Linked DNA regions of Ovis aries. The protein of the gene in region 1 binds, or shares a complex with, the protein of each later gene. Links are inferred from orthologs where the notes say so. Each region holds a gene or a part of one and is shown on either strand. Other genes may lie near its edges. The genes, in order: SNRNP40, SNRPB, LSM7, BUD13, PPIL2, RBM48 and LSM4.

Region 1 (3,500 bases):
TGAAGAGAACAGCGTCAATAAAACAATGGAGGCAGAGCCAGACTGATGAGCAGTGGTCAGGAGACATGGAATTGATAAATGAAAGGGAGATAAGGCATTAAAGACAGTGAGTGTAGAAAATATTCAGGGGATTTCTCACACGCTTACTCCTTGGAAGAAAAGTTATGATCAACCTAGATAGCATATTCAAGAGCAGAGACATTACTTTGCCGACTAAGGTCCGTCTAGTCAAGGCTATGGTTTTTCCTGTGGTCATGTATGGATGTGAGAGTTGGACTGTGAAGAAAGCTGAGCGCCGAAGAATTGATGCTTTTGAACTGTGGTGTTGAAGAAGACTCTTGAGAGTCCCTTGGACTGCAAGGAGATCCAACCAGTCCATTCTGAAGGAGATCAACCCTGGGATTTCTTTGGAAGAAATGATGCTAAAGCTGAAACTCCAGTACTTTAGCCACCTCATGAGAAGAGTTGACTCATTGGAAAAAACTCTGATGCTGGGAGGGATTGGGGGCAGGAGGAGAAGGGGACGACCGAGAATGAGATGGCTGGATGGCATCACGGACTCGATGGACATGAGTCTGAGTGAACTCCGGGAGATGGTGATGAACAGGGAGGCCTGGTGTGCTGCGATTCATGGGGTCACAAAGAGCTGGACACGACTGAGCGACTAAACTGAACTGAAATGAATGAGAGCAAGACTCTGGGCCCAAACTCTGGGTTTTGAATCATTGGTAAAATGGCATTGTGCGTGTGCTCAGTTGCTCAATCCTATCCAACTACTTGCGACCCTGGGAAGCCCATTAACAGCACTTATTTCATAGGTCCATTGTGAGGCTTTAAAGAATTATAATGTAAAGCTCTAAGAACAACAGGTGGCACAGTGGTAAGCAATTCAACTGCTGATGTAGGAGATGCAAGAGATGCGTGTTTGATCTCTACATCAGGAAGATCCCCTGGAGTAGGAAATGGCAACCCACTCTAGCATTCTTGCCTGGAAAATTCCAAGGATGAGGAGCCTGGCAGGGTTCGAAAAAGAGTTGGACACGACTTAGGGACAAACACGCACAGCATGTATTGAGAACAATGCCTGACACATTTAAGTGTTAGAGGATGATGATAACAGTGTTATGATCATAACCACTATCACCATCTTTAAAGAGGCTTGGCTGTAAAGGGGAAGACTGACAGGGCAATAACAAGACAATGTGGAACTGAAGGCAGACTCTTTCCCCTACCAAGAGAAGACCTGAGCATGGTGAAATGCTAATAAGAAGCAATACAGTTGGTTAAAAGGATAGGATTTGGGAAAACTGACAGCATGAGGTCCCAGAGACAGGAAAGAAAGGTTGAAATCTTTCCATGTAAGGGACTCCCGGTAGATAAAAGGACATTCCATTCATAGTAAGAGCAAAGGAGGCAAGGAGAGATGGGACTACAGTACAATTTCTAGGTAGAAACAACATAAGAAGTTGAGTATTTACCCAATAATTACTACTCTCATGATAAAGCATAAGGTAAGTCAAAGTCTTTGAAATACCTAAGCAAGCCAATAAGTAAAAGCAGAGACAAACTGAGTCGCCCCCCCGTCCCCCGACAAATTTCATACTTACTGGCACCTGCCATGTCCAGAAACTCTGCTAGGTGCTCTACTGCATTCGGCTCATTAATGCCCAAGACAACTCTACGCGATAGATATTGTTAACCCCTACTACATACATAAAACAGAAAGCAAAAGAAGTTAAAGAACTAGTGTGAAGCCACAAAAAATTAGAGAATAGAACTGAGATTAGACTCCAAGGCAATTACTTGAAAGCTTGAGCTGTATTATACTATTGAGATGTCTATTGCTTCTTTTCGTCAACATCACTACCTTCTCACATTCTTAGCTATGGATCCCCCAAAACTTCTTTTGTATAGTTTAAAAAACAAAGACACACTGAGAGATTACGGTACAGAATCACAAACTGATTTACTGCTATCTCAGTGAAGGCAATGGAGGTTAAAAAAAGTTTCGAATGCTGTTACTCAGCGAATACACTCTTCATTTTTCAGAGTTCCCACACAGGGACTTCTCACTTCATATAAACTGCCTGGTCCCTGATGGACAGGGACCATATAAGTTGTAATGCAACCCTGACACAGAAGTCAATAAAGACAAGACAGAAAGAAAACACGTTCTAATTTATCTTTCACGTAGGTGGTATAAAGTGCAAAGTTAAGAAGTTGGAAAGACCTACTTCTGTAAATGGAGACAGGTGAAAAGTAAATAGAACATAAACATCTAAAATACCTTGATATCATTGTCTATTCCACCAGAAATAATCTGATCACTTGTATCATTGAAAGTCACAGCTAAAACTTGGTAGGTGTTCTGAAATGTCTGGATGGCCGCTTTCTTGCGGATATCCCAAAGCTGAAAAAGAGGACAAGAAAGTCTATAATGACAACACTCTAAGAAACAACTGCACAGCACACCCATAAATCTAAGGACTGCGGAAGTGGAAACATCTGTAAAGGGACCCTGTTCAGAAATTTGTCTGATTATCCCATCAACATGGTGAGAACTGACTATAATTTTGCCAATGTATCTGAATGCTGGTAGAATAAATCACTTTGGTTGTATTTTCAGATTTCTTTGTTAAAAGTTTGAATACATGTGGTTAATTAAATGCCCTTAGAGTGGACATCTTCACCATGTTTACTAGTTCATTTGTTCTGCACAAAGGATATTAGACCAGTGTTTTGAAATTATAGATCTTAATTCATTATTCAGCTACAACTTACATTTAAAAATATATATATACACACATATGGAGAGGAGGTTACATCAATGAAAATGGCAGAGTACTGAGTGCCCAAAGACTGTCCCTCTAGAAAAGCAGAAGACTGGCAAAACTGTCAGAAATCAATTGCACCAGAACTCTAGAAACTAAAGTTTACAGCAACTAGGTAAATACTGAGGATAAAAACCAGCTGCGTCCTAGTAAGAGGGCTTTCTAGTGCTTTAACTTACCCTGGCTCCATCCTCACTCAGCAACAGCTTTGAAAACAACATGTACTGACCTTTTTGTACACTGACTGAAATTTCAAAACATCCTTGTAAGACATGTATATTACTGTCACTAAAGACTGAGAAACTGAAGATGACAAAAGTGAACCTAAAGTCACATAATTCAGTAAACACTAAGTAAAGAATCTAATTATTCTTGGATGGTGGTCTACTTTATTCCAAGTGACAACTGTTCTACATGGTTGTAACAGTCTGTAGATTCATAAAAAAAGAAAAAAACCTCAACTGCTTATTATCTGAAGTGTATTTTAAAGAGTGTCTGTTTTGGGAAATGTTTGATGAAACAAAGTTGTGGAGAGAAGGGTATAGCATAGGTGGGAAGACAAGGTAAGTGTAACATTTTGTCACCTCAGAAACCCTCAACAGAGACAGACAACACCCACCTTAACTGTACCGTCATCACTGCCAGTGCAAACAAGCTGGGGGCCCCTCC
Region 2 (3,061 bases), on another chromosome or scaffold:
TTAGGTGGTGACTAGCTGGCTGGTTCCTCTCAGTTTGCTCTCCTGTTTTACAGGGCAGATTAAAATGGAGAGTTTCTTAAATCTCTTTCCTTAGTCTTGCTCTTTACTTCTAGCAGAGTACAAGTTGTAAGTAGGGCTGCCAGGCTTTTTATTTCTCTGATTTTGTGTGCCCGGGGGTACTGGGGTAAAGGGCTCTCATGTTCTCCCCACAGGTGTGTAAGGGGGGAGAGCTTGATTTTCTGGCCTCATTGCCTATTTGTAAAGCTGTAGCCTAAAGGGCTCTCACAGTGCAGCCTGGTCTGAAACTGCTTTAAGAAGCCTCTGACCCTCTTCAGGGTAAGTGCTCAACTCCCCTTGTGGGTTTGGGGCCAGTGATTTTTGTTGTCATTTACAGAAACAATTGGAGAATACAGTCCCATAATTTGTTAGATAATTCCCTTGTCTTAGGACTCACCGATCTTAAGCTTCTAGCCTGGTAAAAGATGTGGTCTAGTGTTTTATACAGTAAAGGCATCTTGAGGCCCAAAGAAGTTACGTAATTTCCTTGACCATCCAGCTCTCTTTTGCCACTGGAGTGTCCATAGTGTGTTACCAGTGGCTGTCAGTTCCTTTTAATTCTCTTTGGGACTTTTGTTTTCTTTGTGGCATGAGGTCAAGAAGTATAAGACAGAAAATGGTAGTGATGGCTGAGTGCCCGGTGTACATTAGAGAGTGGCCAACATTTTTAAATGAGACTAACTTTATTCTGGTAATGAAAATGTGCCCATTAGAAAATATTTTGTAAAAGTACATAGAAGTATATGAGAAAAAACTTAAGAGACCCAGAAAGGATTTTTTTTTTAAATTGTGAAAGGGCAGTACATGCTTTTTTTAAAAAAAATAAGAACTATAGATAAGTTTTAAAAAAGAGGAAAAAATGACCACCTATAGAAAATTTATATAAAATATCATTAAAATGAAAACTTTAAGTAATTTTTAAAAATCAAGATATTTTGTATTTCCTTTAACTTTAGGATATTGGCTTTGACTTTCCTTTCCCTGTCTTGTTGCAATTACTTTTTCCCAGTCTATCTCGTTTATATTTTGCTCATCCTTTTCTACTTGTGGATATTTGGAGATTTGTTTTTGTTCTTTGAGGATAGAAGTGTAATTTCTATGTAGCTAATCTCTTAACCTTTTCCTTTATGGCTTCTATTTCTAATATGAGGTGAGAGACAGAGTTATAGTTCTGTGGGGCTGAATTAATACTAGAAGGATACTGCATGTAAGTAGAGTGAATGGGATTCAGTTGACTTGAGGAATTGTTCCGACTGCCTTCCTGACATTGTTAAGGCCTTAAACTGAAGGAAGAAAAAGGGTAATGGCAACAAAGAGTTGACTGAGGGAAGGCTTTCACAGTGGCTTTGTGAGTGAGCCAGGGCTGGGCTTTCTTGAATCTTGTCCTGTCTCTTGGTCTGTGCATTCTCTTGGCATGGGAGACAACCATCAAATGGGGGGAGGTTACAAGTTTAGCCTGTCAGTAGATTTAGTGTAAAAAAAGTCTCGGAGGGCCCCTAGGTAGGTGAACATGAACTTTACCCTTTTTCTAATGCTGTTTTGCTTTGTTTTGTTTCTTCTCCTAAACCTGTCTTTAGACCAAAGAACTCAAAGCAAGCAGAGAGAGAAGAGAAGCGAGTCCTCGGTCTTGTACTACTTCGAGGGGAGAACCTGGTCTCAATGACAGTAGAGGGACCACCTCCAAAAGATGTAAGTCAGAACTGAGAGCCAGTGCAAGGCCAGGAACCTTGTGCAAGGGAGGTGCCACCCTGACCTGGGCCCTGTGTGGGGTTCTCTGTTTCATTGCAGTTCTCATAGGTATCTTCTGGTTTCTGTTTCCCTTATACAGATAATAAACCAGAATCTTAAAGAGGTTCCTTTGCAAGTCAGAAGTAAGGAACTAGGATTTGAGGGTTTGTAACTTTAAAGCCCTCTTTTCCTTAGTTGATGTACCTAGTCAATAGAAGAGGCACCTAAGGCCTCCTGGATCAGTTCTTAATGTGATGACAGTCTAGTTGGACCATAAAAAATTGTAACTCCAAACAATAGAATGCATGTATATTTTTTGTATAGTTATAGAATAATAGTTAATATTTAATTAAGCATCTGCTATTTGCCACGCCCTTCAGTATTTAATTCATGTAACAGTCTTTTGAGATAGATTATTCCCGCTTTATAGATAATGCCAATTGAAATTTAGTAACCTGCACAAGGTGGCACAGCTGGAAAGTGGTGAAACTGTCATTTGATTCCAAGCAGTATTGGTTCATTAACATCAGCCTCCCTTTAGAAATAGGAGAGGCTTTAGAGAATCTAACCAAATTTGTTTCCCCTTTTTCGTTTTAAGATAATGTTTGTTAAAGGAATAATCTTGTTACCTTGTGTTAATTTTTGTCCACATATATATATGTTGGGTTTTTTTAAACTTGTAATAGGTGTGTATCATTCTGCTTTTTAACTTAACATTGTAAACATTTTTCCAGTTGCTGTATTCAAAAGTCATGTTAATGACTTAAAGATACTTTCAAGTGAGTGCAGAGTAGTTTATCCTAGTTATTTCCTTTTGTTTAGACTCTTATATGCAAAGGATGTTACCATGTTTCTGATTCAAGGCCTAGGTACCTATTCATAGCTTTGGTATCTATTTCCAGTAGAATTTGCTACTCTAATGTAGCCGATTGTAAGCCTTCAGGACCACAACCAGTTTTGTTAAAACCTCTTCATTGGTAGATGAAGAAGCAGTACTAGAATGGTGGGATTACTTGCCCACTATCCCCACTATTACCCACCAAGTGAGAATCAGAGCTGGGACTGGACCTCATATCTCTTTGTCGGGTCAAAACACTAATCTAACATAGATACCCTTTGGGGTGGAGGCTTGGCTGTTTATTTGATTTTCATAGGAATGCATATTGGTTGAGTTGTACCTGTTTCTCTTGACTTAAAACCCTTAAGTTCTTTTAGCCTGCTGGGCATATAATCTTGGATGGAGGAAGAGTGGTGTTAACAGGAATGGATAGTGTTT
Region 3 (4,139 bases), on another chromosome or scaffold:
ACTGGCTTATCGGAATCACCAAGCAGAGAAGAGAGATGGACAAGCATAAGATCAATGGTCATTCTGGGTAAAGTGCGAGCTGCACGAGGGTGTCAGCACATGAAATTGGGGTGCCCTCACTGGTGAGGGACCACCCCCCAGCCAGACGCAGGCGTGGCAGCAGCCTCTTCAGGGACAGGACAGATGCAGGACCAAAGGGGGAGCAAGGGAAGGGCTCCCAGGAGACGAGCAGTGACAGCTGACCCCACACCATTGCCACTGCAACAGTCGGCAAATCCGCCTGCGCCTGTTTTGTAAACAGTTTAACTAGAGCCCGGCCCCGCTCATTTGGTAAATGTCGCTGTGGCAGCTCAGCTGCTGAATGGTGGAGTTGAGGAGCTGCGACAGAGACCGTCTGGCCAGCACAGCTGAAAATGTTCCCTGTCTGGTCTTCTGCAGAACAAGTCTGCCAGGCCTGCCTGAGTGCGAGGCCCTGGCTCTGCTTCCTCTGCTGTTGACAGCCCTCCTCAACCCTGTGACGGTGCTCACCAAGTGGGGTGATGGAGAGTGACAAATCCCAGAATCCATCTGGGCACTTGGCCCCGGGTTGGGTAGTGAGCCCACACCTGTGGATCCTCCCTTCTTACTGGGGGAGGTGCCGCAGCAGGTGGGTGGGATTTTCAGATGAATCCAGCATTCCCCCACCCCTCCCTCTGATGTGAGATGGGACCCTCGATCAGACGTCAGTCTGTGGTCAGGCTGTAACAGAGGGCTTCGTGGATGTGATCAAGGTCCATGAATCAGTCCACTCTTAGTGGATCTAAAGGGAGGCTATGCTGGGTGGGCCTGACCTACAGGTGAGCCATTAAAAGGATGGGCCCTTTCTGAAAAGAGAAGTTGAAAAAATTAGATTTTTCTGCTAGCCTTGAAGGAGTCAACTGCCATGCTGTGGACAGTGTCTGTGGCAGAGGCAGTGGGCAGCCTCTAGGAGCCCAGAGGGTCCCTGGCCAACACTTGCCAGAAAACGAGGACCCCGGGCCTGAGATACAGGCTCCCAGAGATGCTCCCTTACTGCAACCTCGTCAGAGACCTGAGCCTGAGGCACCTGGAGTCTGGAACCACAGGTGCTGTGAGATAAAAATGGGTTGTTGAAGCACAGAAAATGAACAGAAGGGACTTCCCTGGTGGTCCAAGTGGTTAAGAATTCATTCTGCAGTACAGCAAATGTGGGTTCCATCCTTGGTCTTACATTCCATGGAGCAACTAAGCCCATATGGCATAATTAGAGAGACCTGGCCTGACATCTGAGACCTTATGCAGCTAAATTAATTAAAAAAAGACAAACACAAGCGCCTTGAGAAGCAGGAGCCCCATCTCCTTGTACATCCCAGAACCGGCATGGTGCCAGTGTTTGTTCAGATTCAGAGCCTCACTGGGCTGGGTACCTAGACGGGCAGGCACTGTGTTTTTAGCCACTCTGATGCTACCCAGGCGTCCACATCTCAGAGGAGGAGTCGTCTGAATCACCATCTTACCAACAAAGAAACTGAAGATCAGAGATAGCTGAATAAGTGAAGCACTGGGTGCTGACTAAGTGTCAGGAACTTGGCTAATGACATTACCCTTTAATTTCACCACCACTGCTGAGGTAAGTGGAGTTAACAGCCTCTGACAGATGAGACAGACTCAGAGATTATAGCGACTTGCCCAAAGTCCCACAGCCAGTGAGCTGGGGCTCTGCCCTGGACGGCACTCTCCACGTAACCTTGCATCATCTTTCCTGCCAGTCTCCTCACGAGATCGCAGAGGGAGATGCAGTTAAAGCCTCACAGTAACTGAAAAAAACCTGCCAAGCCCTGACAGCTGTTACCAGGAGCTTATACCAAAGGACCCTGACTTGGGATGCAGAGTCAAGCAGAGCTTCCCAAAGCAGCTGAGAGCTGCCTGCCTCACTCAAAAGCAAAAGGCTCATTCTTTACCCTGGAACAGTGGTGAACAAGGAGATGAGGTTTGCTTTCAAAAGGTGCCTCAGGTGGCTTCGTGTAAATTGAGTATAGGGCCTGGGTTCTCAACTGGGGCAATTCTGCCCCTGCCAGGGAACACCAGGCCAGGTCTGGGATGCCTGTGGTCATCAGAACTAGAAGGCTCCTGGAATCGAGTGGATGGGACCAGAGATGCTGCTCCACACCCTACAGCGCCCAGGACGGCCCCCTACAGAGAACAATACGGTCTTAATGTCAGCAGTGCTGAAACTGAGAAACCCTGGTGCTGAGGGGGCCCATGGGGGGCTGGGGCAGCCGCCAGGGTGAGACAAGACCCAAAGGAAGCAGAGACCTGAATCCTAGCCCCTGTGGCTGCGGGCGAGGTTTGGGCCCCTTTGCGTGCCTCAGTTTTCCCACCTGCAAAAGGGGTGTAACCGTTCCTATACGCCGGCGCCGGCAGCAGGCCGGACGAGTTGTCCGAGCCAAGCGCCTAAAGCGCGGCCCAGGCATCCGTTACCGGTACCGCCTCCCGTTACTCCTCGTGGACTGTGGAGGGGGAGGGCAGCGGGGCCTCACCTTCTCTGCCTCCCTGGAACTTCACTCGGATGGTCTTGTCGATGTACTTGGATAGATCCAAGATGCTCTCTTTCTTTTTCTTCTCTTTGTCCTGCAGGGGATGCAGAACGCTGTGAAGCGGGGAGCACGGCTGGACTCTCCCCAGTCAACCCCACCAGCCCCGCGAACCCCGCCAGCCCGGCGAACCCCGCCAGCCCGGCGAAACCCGCCAACCCCACCAGCAGCGCCGCACGCTCACCGCCATCTTGTCGCGCCGCGTCGCTATGCGCAGGCGCCGCCACTGCGCCCTTTGTACCTACCCCTGCGCGCATGCGCGAAAGACGCAGGGCGCCTGCGCGGCGCTCTGCGCCGGGGCGTTGCTGGGAAACATCTGCCGACGCCTGTGGCGGGGACCGGGCGACATGGCGGCGGCGGCAGCGGCGGCGGCGCTGGCGCGGCTCGCAGCGGCCTTCCTTCTCCTCGCGGCCCAGGTGAGGGCGGCGCCGACCCCGTTGGCCTCGCCGGCCACGGTGCCCCGGCTTCTCACCCCTCCCTGGCCCCGCGCAGAACCCCGCCCTGACCGGCCTGGGGCCAGCTTAGGGGATCCGCGCCCCCGGTGCCGGCAACCCGTGGGCCTGGGGCCCGACCGTGACCTTGCGGGTCTGTCCCCCGGCCGGTCTCCCTTCTCTGTCTGGACGCCGTTCCCAGCCGTGGTGTCACTGGGTTCCGCCCGGACCTAAAGTTTTAGGTCCCACTACCCCGCTTCCGCCCCGGCCCCTGCTGGTCTGTCTCGGGGTCTCCAACCGCCTCTGGGACTCCCCTCTCTGACTCCGTGGCCTTAGTCGGGGGCTACCCCTCTCTGACCCTGGCATCCCCTTGAAAGCGATACTACCCCCATTCCCCGTGGTTGTAGTCAACTGCCCAGCGTGGCACCCAGTGACTGGCGGCGTCGAGAAGCGTCCAGGAGCCCAGCCCTGGAATGGGGTCGAATCGCCGCCCCATCTTTTTCTGCCGTGACCTTGGCAGGGGAGTTCCCGCTTTGAGTTGGTCGTCTGCAAAAGGAGGATAAGTGTACAGTGCGCAGTCAGCGAGATGATGTAGGGGATCCCGGACGTGGGGCATGCTACTTGTTTGTCACTTAACCTCAAGGGTCGCCACTGGGGGACAGACCTGGAGATGGCTGATGTACGTTACCTTGAGTGCATTTTTTATTTTCCAAACCCTCCCTCTCTCCCAAATTCCATAACTCCGGAAATGGTGCCCCCCCCACCAACAGCCCTACAAACTGGGCCATTAACGTTGCCCTTTCTGTGCCAGCCCCCCAACCTCTGCTTCAGGCTGCTGGCTTCTCTCCAAGGCCGCTTTTGTCCCCCAAACTCCCAGTTCATTTTCAGCCCTGCAGGAGGGATCTCTTTCAAAGTGTGTCAGATCTTGTGTCCAAATGAGAGCTTTCTGGTGCCACTGACACATTCAGGAGGACTCTGTGATCCGGCTGACAGGAAACCATCCTTTGTTTCCAACTCTAGCATATTAAAGGCACTTTGCTCACTGGGCTCTGTTTCCCTGAAACCTAACTCCCTCCAACGTTGTGTTTCTGGTCTCAGCTTAGGGGTGCCACATTCC
Region 4 (3,500 bases), on another chromosome or scaffold:
ATATTCTCTCAGTTCCACAAATCTCATTTTAATAACTTAAACAAAACTTCCTATTTTTTATGAACAAACTGAGAACGTAGTTTACAGAGTGAACCTAGGATCACGAACTTTGTGTTAAACAGATCACACATGGAATTCTACTTCTTATGTGAGATTTGAGCAAGATACATAATATCTCTAAATCTCAGTTTCCTCATCTTTAAAATGTAGATGATGGTAGTACATACTTCAGGTTCTTTTGAGAATTAAATGTGGTAGTGTAAGTAGAACTCTTAGCCCAGGGCCTGGGACAAAGTAACCATTTAGTGTAAGCCATTTACTATTATAAATTGGACTGTAGGTCTCTGTATCCAGAGCTTAAAGAGAGGCATTTAAAATATAAAACGACTTTAAAAATCATATCGCCTGGGAAGTAAGGGTTTTGTATTATTTTAAATCTGCAGTGAAGGCTGACTTAACAAAATCCACATGAACCCCAAGAAATTGTGTTGTAAAGAACACCACTACTAGTACAGAAATGTTATTACAAAAACAAAAAAAGGAAAGAAAAAGAACTGTTATTCCAGTGAGTTGGTTAAGAAAGAGGCTGTGATGTCCATGTTACCTCAACACAGACTTTTCGGGACAACACAGACTCCTCTATAGTCCATGTGGTCCTGGTAGGGACCAGTCAGTCCCTAACCCAGGATGTAGGGAACGGACTGAGGTCAGTGTTTCAGCTGGACCCAGTGTCTTTTTTATGTATCTGCTTAGTCCACGGACAATTTAATATTAATCAGATTTAGCACATTGCCTTTTTTTGGCCATGTTGCATGGTATGCTAGATCTTTGTTCAGTTCCCCAGCCAAGGATTGAAAACCACTGGACTTCCAGGGAAGTACCTAGCACATTGCTTAAGGATATTAGGATATAATTTATATACATTGATCGTGGGGTGGTTTGTTATTTTGATACAGGGTGGGTTTTAGTAAAAAGTTTGGATTTGGTCATATCTTGTCATTATCCTGACATATAGCCACAAATTCACGTTTGAAATTGATAGGTTTGCTTGACTTTGTGATTTAAATGGAATATTTTCAGTGCTGATCTCTACTGAAGGGCTCAGAGCTTGATAGAGGTTTCTGATCAGGTGACCTGAGAGTCTTCATGTATGCAGTTTATATGCTGAAAAGTCAGAAATACAGATGCTTAGCCTGCCCTTTGGCTCAGATGGTAAAGAATCTGCCTGCAGTGTAGGAGATCCGGGTTTGATCCCTGAGTGGGAAGATTCCCTGGAGAAGGGAATGGCTACCCACTCCAGTATTCTAGCCTGGAGAATTCCATGGACAGAGGAACCAGGCAGGCTACAGTCCATGGGGTCACAAAGAGTTGGACATGACTGAACGACTAAAAGTTTCACTTTTTTCAGCCTTCCCTTTAGTAAATTGTTGGTTTGTGTTTCTGTTTGCACTTAAACTTAACAGTACTGTTAATTTTCCATGAAATTCAGTTTTATTTCTTCTATTTTGCCAATCCTATGGTTGATACTGAGAATAGAAGGTAGCGTTTTTGGTTTGGTAATTGCTGATCCTCAGACGTAACTGTACACCACGGAGCCTGTTGCCACATTGTCTCATTAATGCTGGATGCTCCCTTTTCCATTGCATAGGCTGCGCACATGTATTCTGGGGCTAAAACTGGGTTGGTGTTAACTGACATACAGCGAGAGCAGCAGGAGCTCAAGAAACGGGACCAAGAGACCATGGCGTTTGAAGGTAAAAATGTGAAAGTGCAGAGACCAGTTGAGGCTTATGTAGCTTTTACTTTTAAAAAATATATATAGCTAATTTACCTGATATTTAAAAATTTTAATTGCTATCAAATTTCAATTCTGGTTTTCTGCTTTGTTTTAACTTCTCATTGGGTGCAAGTGGATCTTTTCCTTCTTAAAAAATGTTAATTTTCAGAATCATCACCAATATGCATTTAGATGTTGGTAAGGACTACTTGTGGTCTGGCTGTGAAAATTCTTATCCTGCATCAGAACACTAATTGGTTGACTTCAGCTGTTAGAATGTTATTTCTGATTTTGACACCTTTTCGTTTATCTTTAAAAGTGTACTTTTCCTTTGCAGCTGAATTCCAACATGCTGAAACTGTATTTCGAGATAAGTCTGGTCGTAAGAGGAATTTGAAACTGGAACGTTTAGAGCAGAGGCGAAAAGCAGAGAAGGACTCGAAGAGAGAAGAGCTGTATGCTCAGTGGGGCAAAGGGTAAGAGAGCCACTGAAAGGCACACAAGACTGCAGTTACTGGAGGAAATAATTTCTGTCCTCTCCTGACCAGTTAGTTCATTGTTCTGCCTCTAAAGCTGTTTTTAGCAATGGGAGCTTCAGTGTGCTCAGTCTGCTTCCTACAGTACTGACATGTTTCACACTTCTGGTTGGTATTCTGGGAAGTTTACCTTTTTCAGTATTTGCCATAGACTGTTAGGAAGAGGAGGAAGTATGGTCCATCTCAGTGTAAGAGTAGAGATGTTACACAGGATAGCAGACACTCCTGGTTCTTTTTGTCCAGGCTTGCCCAGACCCGGCAGCAGCAACAGAATGTGGAGGATGCAGTGAAGGAAATGCAGAAGCCTCTGGCCCGCTATATTGATGATGAAGATTTGGATCGGATGCTGAGAGAACAGGAAAGAGAGGGGGACCCCATGGCCAACTTCATCAAGAAGAAGGCGGCCAAGGAGAATAAGAATAAGAAAGGTGAGCCTTCTGGGAATCATCAGAGATAGAGGTGATGTATGTGAAGAGAGAGAATCATTAGAATGACGATACTAAATATGTGCAAAGAAGGTGGTCCTGTATAATTTCAAATTCCTTCTATTTGGGAATTTAAGTTGAACTCAGTCAGAGATTTCCGTATAAAATATTTTTTCCTCACTACCGTTCAGCTATGAATTAAATTACGTAGGTAACTAACTTTTCTCTCTCTCCTGTCTTTAGTGAGACCTCGCTACAGTGGCCCTGCGCCCCCTCCCAATAGATTCAATATCTGGCCAGGGTATCGCTGGGATGGAGTGGACAGGTAAGCCTGAGTATTCCCTACAGTTTTATTTTCTCTTCCTTGTAACCCTGACCTTCCCTGGCTGTTCTCAAGTCGTTGTACACTCTGCCTCGTTCTCTGCTCTAACCACAAGGTTAGTAATGTGCAGTGTGCTTGCTTCTGTTTCTCAAATCCCGTTTCCCATGCTCATATCACTCCTCTTTCTCCTCTTTCCCTTTTCAAAGCTTTTTAAAGCTCTGGGTAAATAGCCGAAATGGTCCAGATAGATACCTTTTTTTTGATGTTGGTCACTTCTGGTGATATTCTCTTAAGGTTTAGAGGGGATTGAGTGATGGGTGCTAGTCTGTAGCCTTCTGTATATTGTATCTTTAAAATGTAGCTCTTGAACCTTTTCTTCACTGCCTTAGGAGTGAGTCACTTGTAATGTCGTACTGATCCCTACCACCTTATCTCTTCAC
Region 5 (3,500 bases), on another chromosome or scaffold:
CAAATTCATACTAACTTCCTAGGTATGACGAGTGTCTCGTTTCTTAAGTCCTTAGCTTTTAGAGACACACTCAAATACCTAAGCGTGAACCGGCACGAAGGCACCGACACAGCGGAGGGGACCACAGATAAACTCAGATGCCCGACGGCGGCTGGAGGGAAGCTAGGGCTGGAGACAGGCCGCACGCAAACTCGACTCTCTCGACCCTGAACTATCAGCTAAGACACAAGAGGGCGCTCTCTAGATCAAGGGTGGTAAAAAATGTAAAAAGGCACAGTTGAGGGGGATTTCCTGGGGGTCCAGTGGCTAAGACTCCATGCTCCCAATGCAAGTTCAATCCCTGGTCCGGGAGCTAGATGCCACATGCTCCAACCAAGACACGGCGCAGCCAAGTAAGTAATTAAAAGAAACCAAGTTGGGTCAGATCTTCCTTGCTCGAATCTGAGCCCGAGACACTGCTGGGCTCCCCGCCTCAGCTTGCCCCAGACCACAGCCCCTGCCCCTGCTCCACTCATACCGGGCAAGTAAGAATGGGCCCCGCGCCGCAGGGCCTGTCACGGCTGGGCCTCTGCCTGAAGCGCTCTCCCCACAGGGCACGCCCCACCTGTCTGCAGAGCCCCCCTCAAACTCCATCAGCTGGCCCCCAGCCCCTCTCCCTTGGCCCACTTCACCTCTGACCCCAGGACAGGCCGAGTCTGACCCACCGCAGTGACCTCATTTCCAAAGCCCGCCCTCTCATCTCAGGAGAGGCTTGGCCCTCACTGTCTGCACGTGGCAGGCAGGCACGCAGTGAACGCTTGTGAAGGAGCCACTCTCGGAGCGAGGAGCTCCCCAGCACCCAGACTGTCCGGGCCGCCAAGGCCGGCTGGCTCCTCACTGCTGTCCGCACCTGCTGGGGGCTGGCCGGCCTCCAAGCATTCCCGGAACGCACCCACCAGCAAACCCTGACCCAGCCCTCCCCCAGGGCACCTGCACACGCCCAGGCCCATAGGGAACTGAGAACAAGGCCAGTGCTCGCGGAGGCTGCCTCCACACAGGCGTCCGGCTAGCAAGAGCAGTGCAGGGCACGCAGGGGTGCAGCACGGGGCCCCGGGACTGGGCCGGGGCGCACGACCAATGCCGAGCCGAGCGGAAAGAGCCCAAGAGCCCCCAGCCCCACGCCCAGCCGCCCACCTGGGCCTCAGCCTGAGCAGCTCCGTCTCCAGTGACACCTGGACCACAGCTGGGCAGGGCCTGTGCCCTCAGGGGCCCAGCTCAGCCCACACGGCCCAAGTGCCCCACAGTGAAGGCTCATGCCCTCAACTGTGCCTTTTTAAATTTTTTACCACCCTTGATCTAGAGAGCGCCCTCTTGGCCTTGTGTCTTAATTGATGATTGCAGGGTCGAGAGAGCCGAGTTTGTGTGCCACCCATCTCCAGCCCCAGCTTCCCTCCGGCCGCTGTCGGGCGTCTGAGTTTATCTGTTCCCAGTTTTAAACTACCTGTGCCTCTAGGAAGACAGCATAACATTTTTGATAAACTGAAAGCAAGCGTCTGGCCTGCTCGGAAGGTAAGAACCTGGAGAGAGGTGGGGCTCGGGTAACCCGAGCAGGCCGGAAAGGCTGCTCACCTTCACTGTTCTTCGCAAAGTTCAACTTGACCAGGGACCGCCCATCCAGTTTCTGCAAGAAGCAGAATCAATGAAAATACAGAAGCAGCTAGCGTGCGGAGGTGCTGAGGCCACCAGGCCAGTGTGGCAGGCAGCAGCTCTCTCTGGCCTAACTCCCGCCCAGAACAAGGGTCTCCACCCCTGGGTCTCACAGCACTGGCGCTGCTCCCTGACACCCCCAGGCCCCTGTCCTCCTCTGAGGTAGCACCCTGGTCCCTGGTCCTGCTCCGCTACAGAGCCGGCCCCGCACCGCAGCGCTAACACCCCGCCGGGAGTGAACTGCAGGCACGCCACGAGGGAACGGAGAGCAGCCTGCGCGGCGGAACCGGGCCCAGGCCTGTGGCAGGTGTGCAGGGCTGCGGCGGGAGGGGCCGATCCTGCGTTCTCTCCAGCACGGCACACCGAGCACGCCAGCAGTGGGAAGCTAGCTTCCACACAGCCCGTAAGGAGCATCGCCCAGAGGGGTGGGACGCCCAGCGCCTCCGAGGGTCTAGGACCCGAATCCCCTTCACACCCACCAGCAGGGGCCCAGAATGCTTCGACTCCTCCAGGGCAACGTGCCAGGAGTGACCAGGCCGAAAACGCAGCCCCGGGGCCGGCAGGCTGGGGGCCACTGCACGTGCGCCTGGCCAGCGTTGGTAACAGCAGGGGATGCCAAAGCCCGCGGTGCCGCCGCAGGAGGCTGCCCCTGTGTGACCCCACATGTGGGCACGCGGGGGGCATGCTCCACGGAGGACAGGCGTGGGGAAGGGAGGGGGCACGGGCGCGTGTGACACTAGAGCGTTCGCCGGCCTCACCGAAGCTCCTGCAGGGCCACCTACCTCTCCGTTGCTGGGGTTGGTCCCGTACTTCTTAAGCCAAGGAACGATGTTCCTGGAGGAAGAGACCAAGCGTGTCAGACGGCGACGGGCCAGAGCCGGGGACTGGGCTGGGGGGCGGCTGCCCAGGGGCTGGGGGCTGCTCCGCCCTCTCTCTCCGCCTCATCACGGGAAGGAGTGCTTCTGGCCGCGCAGGCACCAGTGGCCGCTTGGGGTTTCTCCTGCCGTTGTGCACAAGCGTGGACAAACACCACTAATGGCAAGCCCTCCACACACGTTGCTGCGGGTACCGGGCCAGCCTCGGAACCACACTCCGCACAGTTCTGGACGACGGGGGCGAAACGCTCTCGCTGTGACTGGAGAGTGGGTCTGGAACCAGCCTCGCGGTGTGATCTCTACCAGGTTCCCACAAACACCTCCCAGGCAAAAGGGGCCCAGCCTGACAGCGCCCGTCTCCCCTTCATCTGAAGCGCTTTCCGCATTTTCTGAAATGAGGCTGTCACGAGGAACGGCAGAAGCCTGCGTCCTCGGAACACAGACGGGGCACGAGGCTTCCGAGGGCAGCACCAGAGAGGCAGGCACCTCGACTACGGCTCCGCCTTCGTGACGTGAAAGCTACACACTCTCCAATATTCCAACAGCTAGGGGGTGCGGATCAGAACGCTGGGGGCCCCCAGGCAGAGGTCAGAGCGGTGCTGCCCCTCCCATCCCCAAGAGGCCCACCCAGGGCTCTGGAGGCTGCAGGCCCGCAGCGTGGCCCTGCCTGCAGCCCACACCCTCCCGCCGCCCTGTCTCAGGTGGGTGCCAGCAACCTCACCACATCTGCCAGCTTAGACGTCAAGGGGAAACTCACAGCAAGTCAAAGACGACACCTTCGGGAGTGCACACCGGGTAGGTGAAGGGCTGCAGAGAGAGACTGAGGGGCAGCAGAGTCACTCCTGAGCGCCGCCCTCTCCCGACCCAGAGACGCTGGCGGGCGGCCGTGGTCGGGGGCCCCGCCCGCTCCTCGCTGCGCAGCGGGCCCCGCTCCTGCAT
Region 6 (3,968 bases), on another chromosome or scaffold:
AGACCAGGTGCCCCTATTTTATAATTACGAAACTAGGGATGTGGTTAGAACTATGAACTACCACAATCACAATGTCCAGAGGGCAACTAACTGCAGAGGTCCAAGTATGCATAATCCCACTGCACGTTCCGGGCACACCTAGGAGGTATTCCGAGCAGCGGAGACGCAGCGAGAACCTTCATCTTATTAACCTATCTCGCTCGCGGCTCAGTCTCTATTAATTTACAGGGACTCCTGGGCCACAGCCAGGCAGGCGCACCTGGAAACCACTGGCAGGAAAAACGTTTTTTACGATCGAAACAAAACAAAATCCGCAGACAAACCCGACTTCTCCAAAGCTTTTCCAACCTGGAGTGAGGAATAGCTGAACTCAGAGAGAAAATTATCAGGATGTTTGAGAGCCCAGTTTCACCGAGTGAAGACCTGGAATACGTACGGCAAGTTAACGCAAAGGCCCGGGGCTGCACCCGACGTGGTAGGGCTGCAAAGACCGCCCGGACCGGCCCTGCTCCAGAGCGGCCCACGTTCTGGCTGATGAACAGGTCGGCGGCGCGGGGAGAGCAGCCCGCGTCCCGCCGTCGGGAGACGCCCGAGCGGCCGCTGCGTCCCGAAAAGGCCTGGGTCCCGGGCGGCCGCAGACGGCCCCCGAGGAGTCCCGAGTCCGGGCTGGGGAGTCCATGGGGCGGGCGCGTTACCTGGAGCAAGTGCAGCTGGGCCACTAGGCGCCGCGGCAAGTGAAGGAAGCAGTCGCGCGTGCTGGTGAAGGCCACGGTCACGGCCGCCCCGCCAGCAGCACCCGCCAGCCGACCGCTGCCCCACATCCTCCGCCAGCGACGGCCCCGCCGGAGGCCCACCCCAGCGGACCCGGGCTGCCTGCGGACCGAGGGTGACCGGGCCTGCTACGCTCGATCGGCCCCGCCCCCAGGCCCCGCCCCTCGCGCCCGCCGCGCCTCGGGAGCTGGAGCGGCAGGCCAGCCCAGTCCGGCTCGCCGGGCCTCTCCGCCGCGCCGCTGGAGGGCGGCAGCTCGCTCGCCGCCTACTTGCTCACAGGAAACGATGGCCAACCCTGTGGCTCCTTCAGCCAATCTCGGCGCGCCTTGACCCATCCCTCTCTCTGATTGGGTAATCAGGAGGGCAACAGGCGGATGTTGTCGTCTCTGCGAGGGCCAAAGCCGGCAAGATGGCGTCCAGTGGAGGGCAAGTTGGGGGCGTATTCGATCACCACGTCCAAAGGGCTGTGTGTGACTCGAGAGCCAAGTATCGGGAGGGCCGACGGCCTCGCGCTGTGAAGGTAAAGTGATTTTGGTTTCATTCGTTGTCGTCGGTAGCTTTATGTAAGCTGTAGCTTCACACGCCCAGTTAATGTAAATAAAGTCTTGAAAGGCTGCGGTCACATCCATTTGCTGGAGATGAGTGTGAGGGACGCCGGTACCCAGGTAGCAGATACTCTCGCGGCCTCTTTAGTCAACTGTTGGAGCTCCGTGAAAACGGGGTATGTGTTTTAGTCGTATCTTCCGTGTTTACAGTAGTGAATATTTAACTCTTTCCTGTAACATTTACCGAGGCAGCTTCTGAAGACATGTCGATTGGAGGTAGTCTATTATGTGCTTTAGCTCGAAGCCCTCACATGTAGGGTGACTTATTGTTTCTACAAAGAGAAGGGCAGATTAAAAACAAAAACAAAAACACCTTTTCTGCAGACCTGAACAGAGTAGTTCTTGTTTTCAGGGTTTTTGTTTGTTTGTTTGTTTTGAATAGTAACAGGTTGTCCTAGGCTTGTTTGTGAAACACATTTAATGCGTGTGCATTTCTTTTAGGTCTATACAATCAATTTGGAGTCTTGGTACTTATTAATACAAGGAGTTCCTGCCGTGGGAGCAATGAAGGAATTAGTTGAGCGATTTGCTCTATATGGTGCAATTGAACAGTATAATGCTCTAGATGAATACCCAGCAGAAGACTTTACAGAAGTTTATCTTATTAAATTTCTCAATTTACAAAGCGCAAGGTAATATACAAGTCAGGCAGTGTCTCATTTCCTCTGTTCCCATTGCTATCATTTTGGCCTCCCTCATTCTTTCATGAATTACTCAGTAATCTAACATGGCTTTTTATTTTTCTCCAGTATTCTTAATGTAAGTGTTAGCTTTATCAAAAGTCTGTCCATTAGGTCATCCCCATGTGTAACCATTTTCTGTCTTGTAGTGTGGTAGATTAAAAACTGGGTTTGGACTAAGTTTTCAGGTTCCACTGCTTACTAACATGATGACCTTGGACAAGTTATTTAATCCCATTAAACCTGTTTTCCTGTCCTATAAAATGTGTAAGGATGAAATGAGATAATCCATGTAGAGGGCTTAGCAGATGCCTCCTGCTCAGAATGCGGTAAACAACATTAGCTGTTAGGTTTCTTGTTATGCACCTATATGAATTGACCCCATCTTTTTTTTTTTTTCTTCTGAATAGCATAAATCCTCTGCTGTAGTAAGGGAAATATGAAATGCCTCATCTTATATTCTTGTCACTAATTTGCTTCAAGACCCATCCCTTCCCTGGCTATTACAATTCACATTTTCTGTGCTACAAACAGTACTGGGGTATATGGGTCATATATTGTTCTCCAGTTGCTCTTATGTATAATCTCACTGCCCTAACCAACTTGCCAGCTCCTCATGGTTAGGGAAGTATATTTCCTTATTGTGTATTCATTCCATGAAGCTTTTGCATCTCCCACACCCCTTTTACAGTGTGACATGTGGATTTGAATCCTGGCTCCACAAACCAAGGTGAGCTTGGACAAATAATCTCCCCATGCCTCAGAGTCATCATAGGGATGTTGAGAAGTGTGATTTCAAGTGAAGCATTTAGGCCACTGCCTGGCACATGGTAAAATCTCAGTGAATATTTCTTACCATTTACCTTGGACACAGAAGTACTTAATTTCGTAGTAATTCCTGGCCAGTCATAGATGTTTAGTAAGTATACATTAAATGAATACTATCCTCTCCTTTTCTCATTTACTGTTATATATTTGTGTTTTCTCCATTATTAAATGTTTATAATTGTAATATTTTTATTAATTTCTTATCTTTGAACCCCATTATAGGAACACATTGTGCTAAAAAGGCTAAGCTGGGCATGAGCTAATTTTTGAGGGCCTTTTAACACAGAATCTCTATTTCATGACCACAGATTGTGTACCTCAGGCCAACCAGCTGAATCTTATGTTGGTTAAAGGGAGTCTGGATATGTTTGGAAAACTTAGCTTAAAACCTATGAAGACTCTTGGGAGAGGGGGAAAAAGGCTCTGAAAGAATATGCAGTGGATCAGTAGGGTCAATACCATTCACGTGCAGAGCATCGCAGCTCCGAAGCTATAGGATTTATGTATACAACAAAGTCTGGACTTTGCTTTTTAGATCAATGCATTGTATGCTGGTTAAGCTTTCACCCTAAGTAAACCATGGTATCGTGAATTTCTGCTTAGGATGGCCAAGAGAAAAATGGATGAGCAGAGTTTCTTTGGTGGCTTGCTTCATGTGTGCTATGCTCCAGAATTTGAAACAGTTGAAGAAACCAGAAAGAAATTACAAGAGAGGAATGCTTATGTAGCAAGAATGACTAAAAATAAAGGTATGTAAAGCCTACTACTAAACACCTCCAATGTGTCAGGCATTTTGCTGAGTTTACCCTCCTAGAGTTTTCCCAGTCTAGTGACTATAAGCTACGAAGTTTTTTCTTTACAGAATGTTATGTAATCTTGCCTGGGAAGGGATAGATGTTATTTCATGGAAGATTCCTGCAGGATGAGAATGGTGGCTGAGTTCTGAAGGGAAAGTAGACATTACCCAGAAAGGGAGAGGAACAGATGGAAAGATGGGCCAGAGGAATAAATGAGCGTCATGCATTTTAAGGAACTGTGAGTAATATAACCACAACACAGCAGCTGACATGTGAATCTGAGATAA
Region 7 (3,240 bases), on another chromosome or scaffold:
TACCCTGCGGGGGCGACGCCAGGCACAGGGAGCCTGAGTGGATGGATGCTGCCCGGCTGCCTACACGTTCCTCCCCACGGCTCTGACACGTACCCCCTGTTGCAGGACGGGGACAAATTCTGGCGGATGCCCGAGTGCTACATCCGCGGCAGCACCATCAAGTACCTGCGCATCCCTGACGAGATCATCGACATGGTCAAGGAGGAGGTGGTGGCCAAGGGCCGTGGCCGCGGTGGCCTGCAGCAGCAGAAGCAGCAGAAGGGCCGCGGGATGGGGGGCGCCGGGCGAGGTAGGCCCTTCTCTCCGCCCTCTCCCCTGGCAGGCAGCCGGGGCCTCCCCGCTGGAGCGTGACTGCCGCGCGCGGCATCTGGCCTGGCCCAGTGCTGGCATTCTCCGCTGGTGGCGTCATGTTGCCGAGGGCCTGGCTCTGCGCCCCTCCTCCATGGCACTGGGGGGCTGTGACTCACGGGGCTCTTCTGTGGAACAGTTGGTGCTGCTGGTTGCCACCTGCATGCCCCGTGTCCCCCACCCCAGGAGCCCAGCTAAGCCCTAGTGGTCAGTGCTGGCCGCGCCCATCCTCACAACATGGGCCCTCCTCCCCGCAGTGGCTCTTGGTGCTCCCTCAGCTCCAGATGCCGCCCAGCAGACTAACCCAGCACCCACACAGACCTGGGACTTGAGCCCCACCTGTGTTTCCTGGCAGGTGCTCTGGGCACCTCGGGGAGGCTCAGATTCCCCCCTGCGGAGAAGATCCCCGTGGTGCCCAGCCTGGGACCCTTCCCTGCTGTGACTCCTTTAGACAAAACCAAGGTCACGCCTTTTGGGTAGATCACCCCGCACCACCCTGAAATCATAAATCTTGCATAAAACTAAACGTGCAGTCAGCTAGAGCCGCAGCCCAGAGGCCAGCTGTGGGCCCCACCCTCCCCCACCCGACTTCTGTCTCACCCACCTGGAGGGGCTTGTATGCCAGGTTCCAGGAACCCACCCTGGAGGCTTATATGCAGAGCCAGGAAAGACATAGGAGCCCCCCTGAGCTGAGGCTTGAGTGACAGAAAGGAGCCAGAGAGAAGAGGGCACCGCAGGTGGAGAAGAACCTAGGATGGGGGTGAGCAGGGCCCCAGAGGTCCCAGGACCTGCCCCCAGGGCTAGGCTGCCCACCCAGGGTGCCATCGCTGTCGAGTAAACTGCCTGAAGGAGCAGGGAGGACAGGGAGAGGCGCTTGCATAGGGGCCCCTGCATGACCAGGCTCCCCTTGCCCAAGCTGGGTCTTGCTCCATTAGAGATGAGGCTGGGCAGACCCTGTCAGCCCTGGCCCTGTCCCCTGTATGCGTGTGGAGGAAGGGGGCCCTGGAAGGCCAGGCTGCTGCTTCTGTGACTTCCTGGGCAGGGGCTGCACCCACCCTTGGGCTATTCACCTTCCCCAGCAGCAGTGCTGTGTGCTCCACGTAAAATGCCTTTCGGAAACAGCCCCACCTCTGGCTGCAGAGGTCAGAGCTCAGGAGGCTCCCCCGCCCCTTCTCTGGGCTGGACACACAGAGACCCCACCCCACCCCATTGTTTCAGCAAGGCAGGGTGGGGTCCCCCGGTGCAGCCCCAGTCACAGAGCTGAGCATCGTTGCTCCACCCCTGGGCTGAGTCCAGGCCTCATCCTAGCTTGTACTCCCAGCTCCTCCTGGAAACCCTTCTGATTTTGTCCTGCTGATGACTACCCACCCCCTCACCTTGGCCCTCAGCCCTCTCTTCCAGGAAGCATATCCCCCCCCCCGCCGCCGCCCCCGCAAGCCCCAGTGTGACTTGATGCCAACCTCTGTCCTTCTTGGCATCCTTCGCACCCCTGGGGCGCCTGGTCTGATATCCCTTGTCACACTGAGAATGTTGTGGAGCAATACCCCTGCCCAGCCCTGGTCAGACACTCCATCTCAGATTTTCAACCTGCTCTTCCCACCGACGGTACAGTCACTGCCCCCACTTTACAGAGGTGAAAGCTGAGGCTCAGAGGGGTTCAACGACTTGGCTATAGTCTAAGGGTTCCAGTTCCTGGTCCTTGCCCACAGTGACCCTCCCAGCCTGGCTCTACTGAACCCCCCCTCCTGTCTCACAGGTGTGTTCGGTGGCCGGGGCCGAGGTGGGATCCCTGGGACTGGCAGAGGTCAACCAGAAAAGAAGCCAGGCAGACAGGCGGGCAAACAGTGAGCCGCCCCTCCATTCCCGAGACTGAGCTGCCGCGCCGAGCACCTGCTCCCACCCTGAGGCTGCATTCCTGGTCTCCAGTTTATGACTGTTCAGAACAAAAAGAAGAGGCAGGGGTCGGGGAGGACCCCCTGCCTGTCCTCTGGTGGTCCTCCTCTTTTTTTGTTAGCCAGCAGTTCTATGGTTGGAAATGTTAATTCTGTGCTTCTGGTTTTGTGAAGCCGCAGCCAACTGGATTCCTGGAAGATTCTGTGTTTAATGCATCGTTAAAGCCCTCACTCTTGTTTTAAGGGCAGGCATTTTCCAAACAGGTTTGTTTTGCATTCTGTGTGGTAAACAGACGGGAGGTTTTTATTTTCAGCTGTTTGCACTGAGATTGATAGCCTGGAGGGTCTCCTGAAACACGGACCCTGAAACTGCCTTTTCGAAATGGATCCAGGCAAACGTATGCCTCAGAAGCTGTTCTGGGGGATGATGCTGGGCCCTATTCCGTCCCTTCTTCTCTCCCTCTTTGTCTTAGAAAAATAAAAACAAATACAACTACAAACTGCGAAATCCATAATTCCTTTGAACCACTGGGTGAATCTAGTTGTAGTGTCCTCAGGAAATCACAGCCCCCACGCAAGAAGTTTCCTTTTGCCCCCTGTGGCCTCTCACCAAGGGGAAGCATTTCAATGGGACACTGGTTCCCATGACCCTCAGCAGCCTCTTACAAAAGGTGGAAGGCAAAATGGGGGTCTGGGCAGTAGGGGAGCCCCTTCCCCTCTGTGGGGCGGTGGGGGAGGGAAGTTGTGGGTGGGAGCCAGTGGGACACCCACACTGCCTGTCCTCAGCCTCCATCTCTGTTGTGCAAGCACTGTTCACAGCAGAGCTCCCTGAGAAGCCGTGACATGGAGCTGCCTCCAGGAACACATGAGGAAGGCTTTTCACGAACTGTTTACCTCCTCTTAGGGTCGGGGCACTTGCCTGTCCGCGACTCAGCGATTTGCCTGAGACGCTGAGCCAGCACTTGTGCGGAACACTTCCGGCGATGTGGTCCTTTGACCG

What was found.
Region 2: SNRNP40 (region 1) and SNRPB share a complex: the UniProt entries of both Homo sapiens proteins name them as parts of the U4/U6-U5 tri-snRNP complex. The link is inferred for Ovis aries from reciprocal best matches to the Homo sapiens genes SNRNP40 and SNRPB.
Region 3: SNRNP40 (region 1) and LSM7 share a complex: the UniProt entries of both Homo sapiens proteins name them as parts of the U4/U6-U5 tri-snRNP complex. The link is inferred for Ovis aries from reciprocal best matches to the Homo sapiens genes SNRNP40 and LSM7.
Region 4: SNRNP40 (region 1) and BUD13 share a complex: the UniProt entries of both Homo sapiens proteins name them as parts of the minor spliceosome. The link is inferred for Ovis aries from reciprocal best matches to the Homo sapiens genes SNRNP40 and BUD13.
Region 5: SNRNP40 (region 1) and PPIL2 share a complex: the UniProt entries of both Homo sapiens proteins name them as parts of the minor spliceosome. The link is inferred for Ovis aries from reciprocal best matches to the Homo sapiens genes SNRNP40 and PPIL2.
Region 6: SNRNP40 (region 1) and RBM48 share a complex: the UniProt entries of both Homo sapiens proteins name them as parts of the minor spliceosome. The link is inferred for Ovis aries from reciprocal best matches to the Homo sapiens genes SNRNP40 and RBM48.
Region 7: SNRNP40 (region 1) and LSM4 share a complex: the UniProt entries of both Homo sapiens proteins name them as parts of the U4/U6-U5 tri-snRNP complex. The link is inferred for Ovis aries from reciprocal best matches to the Homo sapiens genes SNRNP40 and LSM4.

Annotation. Positions count from the first base shown.
Region 1 is NC_056055.1:236,101,907-236,105,406, reverse strand, and holds part of SNRNP40 (U5 small nuclear ribonucleoprotein 40 kDa protein), read right to left. Parts: coding exon 3,451-3,500; intron 2,411-3,450; coding exon 2,288-2,410; intron 1-2,287. UniProt on the Homo sapiens protein: Required for pre-mRNA splicing as component of the activated spliceosome. Component of the U5 small nuclear ribonucleoprotein (snRNP) complex and the U4/U6-U5 tri-snRNP complex, building blocks of the spliceosome.
Region 2 is NC_056066.1:52,396,632-52,399,692, forward strand, and holds part of SNRPB (small nuclear ribonucleoprotein-associated proteins B and B'), read left to right. Parts: intron 1-1,634; coding exon 1,635-1,746; intron 1,747-3,061. UniProt on the Homo sapiens protein: Plays a role in pre-mRNA splicing as a core component of the spliceosomal U1, U2, U4 and U5 small nuclear ribonucleoproteins (snRNPs), the building blocks of the spliceosome.
Region 3 is NC_056058.1:19,032,477-19,036,615, reverse strand, and holds the start of LSM7 (U6 snRNA-associated Sm-like protein LSm7), read right to left. Parts: upstream 2,801-4,139; 5' UTR 2,782-2,800; coding exon 2,776-2,781; intron 2,629-2,775; coding exon 2,538-2,628; intron 6-2,537; coding exon 1-5. Other genes in the region: SPPL2B (signal peptide peptidase-like 2B), read left to right, coding at 2,801-3,007. UniProt on the Homo sapiens protein: Plays a role in pre-mRNA splicing as component of the U4/U6-U5 tri-snRNP complex that is involved in spliceosome assembly, and as component of the precatalytic spliceosome (spliceosome B complex).
Region 4 is NC_056068.1:27,150,694-27,154,193, reverse strand, and holds part of BUD13 (BUD13 homolog), read left to right. Parts: intron 1-1,648; coding exon 1,649-1,754; intron 1,755-2,114; coding exon 2,115-2,253; intron 2,254-2,556; coding exon 2,557-2,741; intron 2,742-2,981; coding exon 2,982-3,063; intron 3,064-3,500. UniProt on the Homo sapiens protein: Involved in pre-mRNA splicing as component of the activated spliceosome. As a component of the minor spliceosome, involved in the splicing of U12-type introns in pre-mRNAs.
Region 5 is NC_056070.1:72,128,805-72,132,304, forward strand, and holds part of PPIL2 (RING-type E3 ubiquitin-protein ligase PPIL2), read right to left. Parts: intron 3,382-3,500; coding exon 3,319-3,381; intron 2,521-3,318; coding exon 2,469-2,520; intron 1,661-2,468; coding exon 1,609-1,660; intron 1-1,608. UniProt on the Homo sapiens protein: Has a ubiquitin-protein ligase activity acting as an E3 ubiquitin protein ligase or as an ubiquitin-ubiquitin ligase promoting elongation of ubiquitin chains on substrates.
Region 6 is NC_056057.1:10,622,833-10,626,800, forward strand, and holds the start of RBM48 (RNA-binding protein 48), read left to right. Parts: upstream 1-1,168; 5' UTR 1,169-1,180; coding exon 1,181-1,291; intron 1,292-1,817; coding exon 1,818-2,008; intron 2,009-2,014; exon of another isoform or gene 2,015-2,712; coding exon of another isoform or gene 2,713-2,786; intron 2,787-3,487; coding exon 3,488-3,633; intron 3,634-3,968. Other genes in the region: peroxisomal ATPase PEX1, read right to left, coding at 696-821. UniProt on the Homo sapiens protein: As a component of the minor spliceosome, involved in the splicing of U12-type introns in pre-mRNAs.
Region 7 is NC_056058.1:4,695,295-4,698,534, forward strand, and holds the end of LSM4 (U6 snRNA-associated Sm-like protein LSm4), read left to right. Parts: intron 1-105; coding exon 106-289; intron 290-2,104; coding exon 2,105-2,196; 3' UTR 2,197-2,740; downstream 2,741-3,240. UniProt on the Homo sapiens protein: Plays a role in pre-mRNA splicing as component of the U4/U6-U5 tri-snRNP complex that is involved in spliceosome assembly, and as component of the precatalytic spliceosome (spliceosome B complex).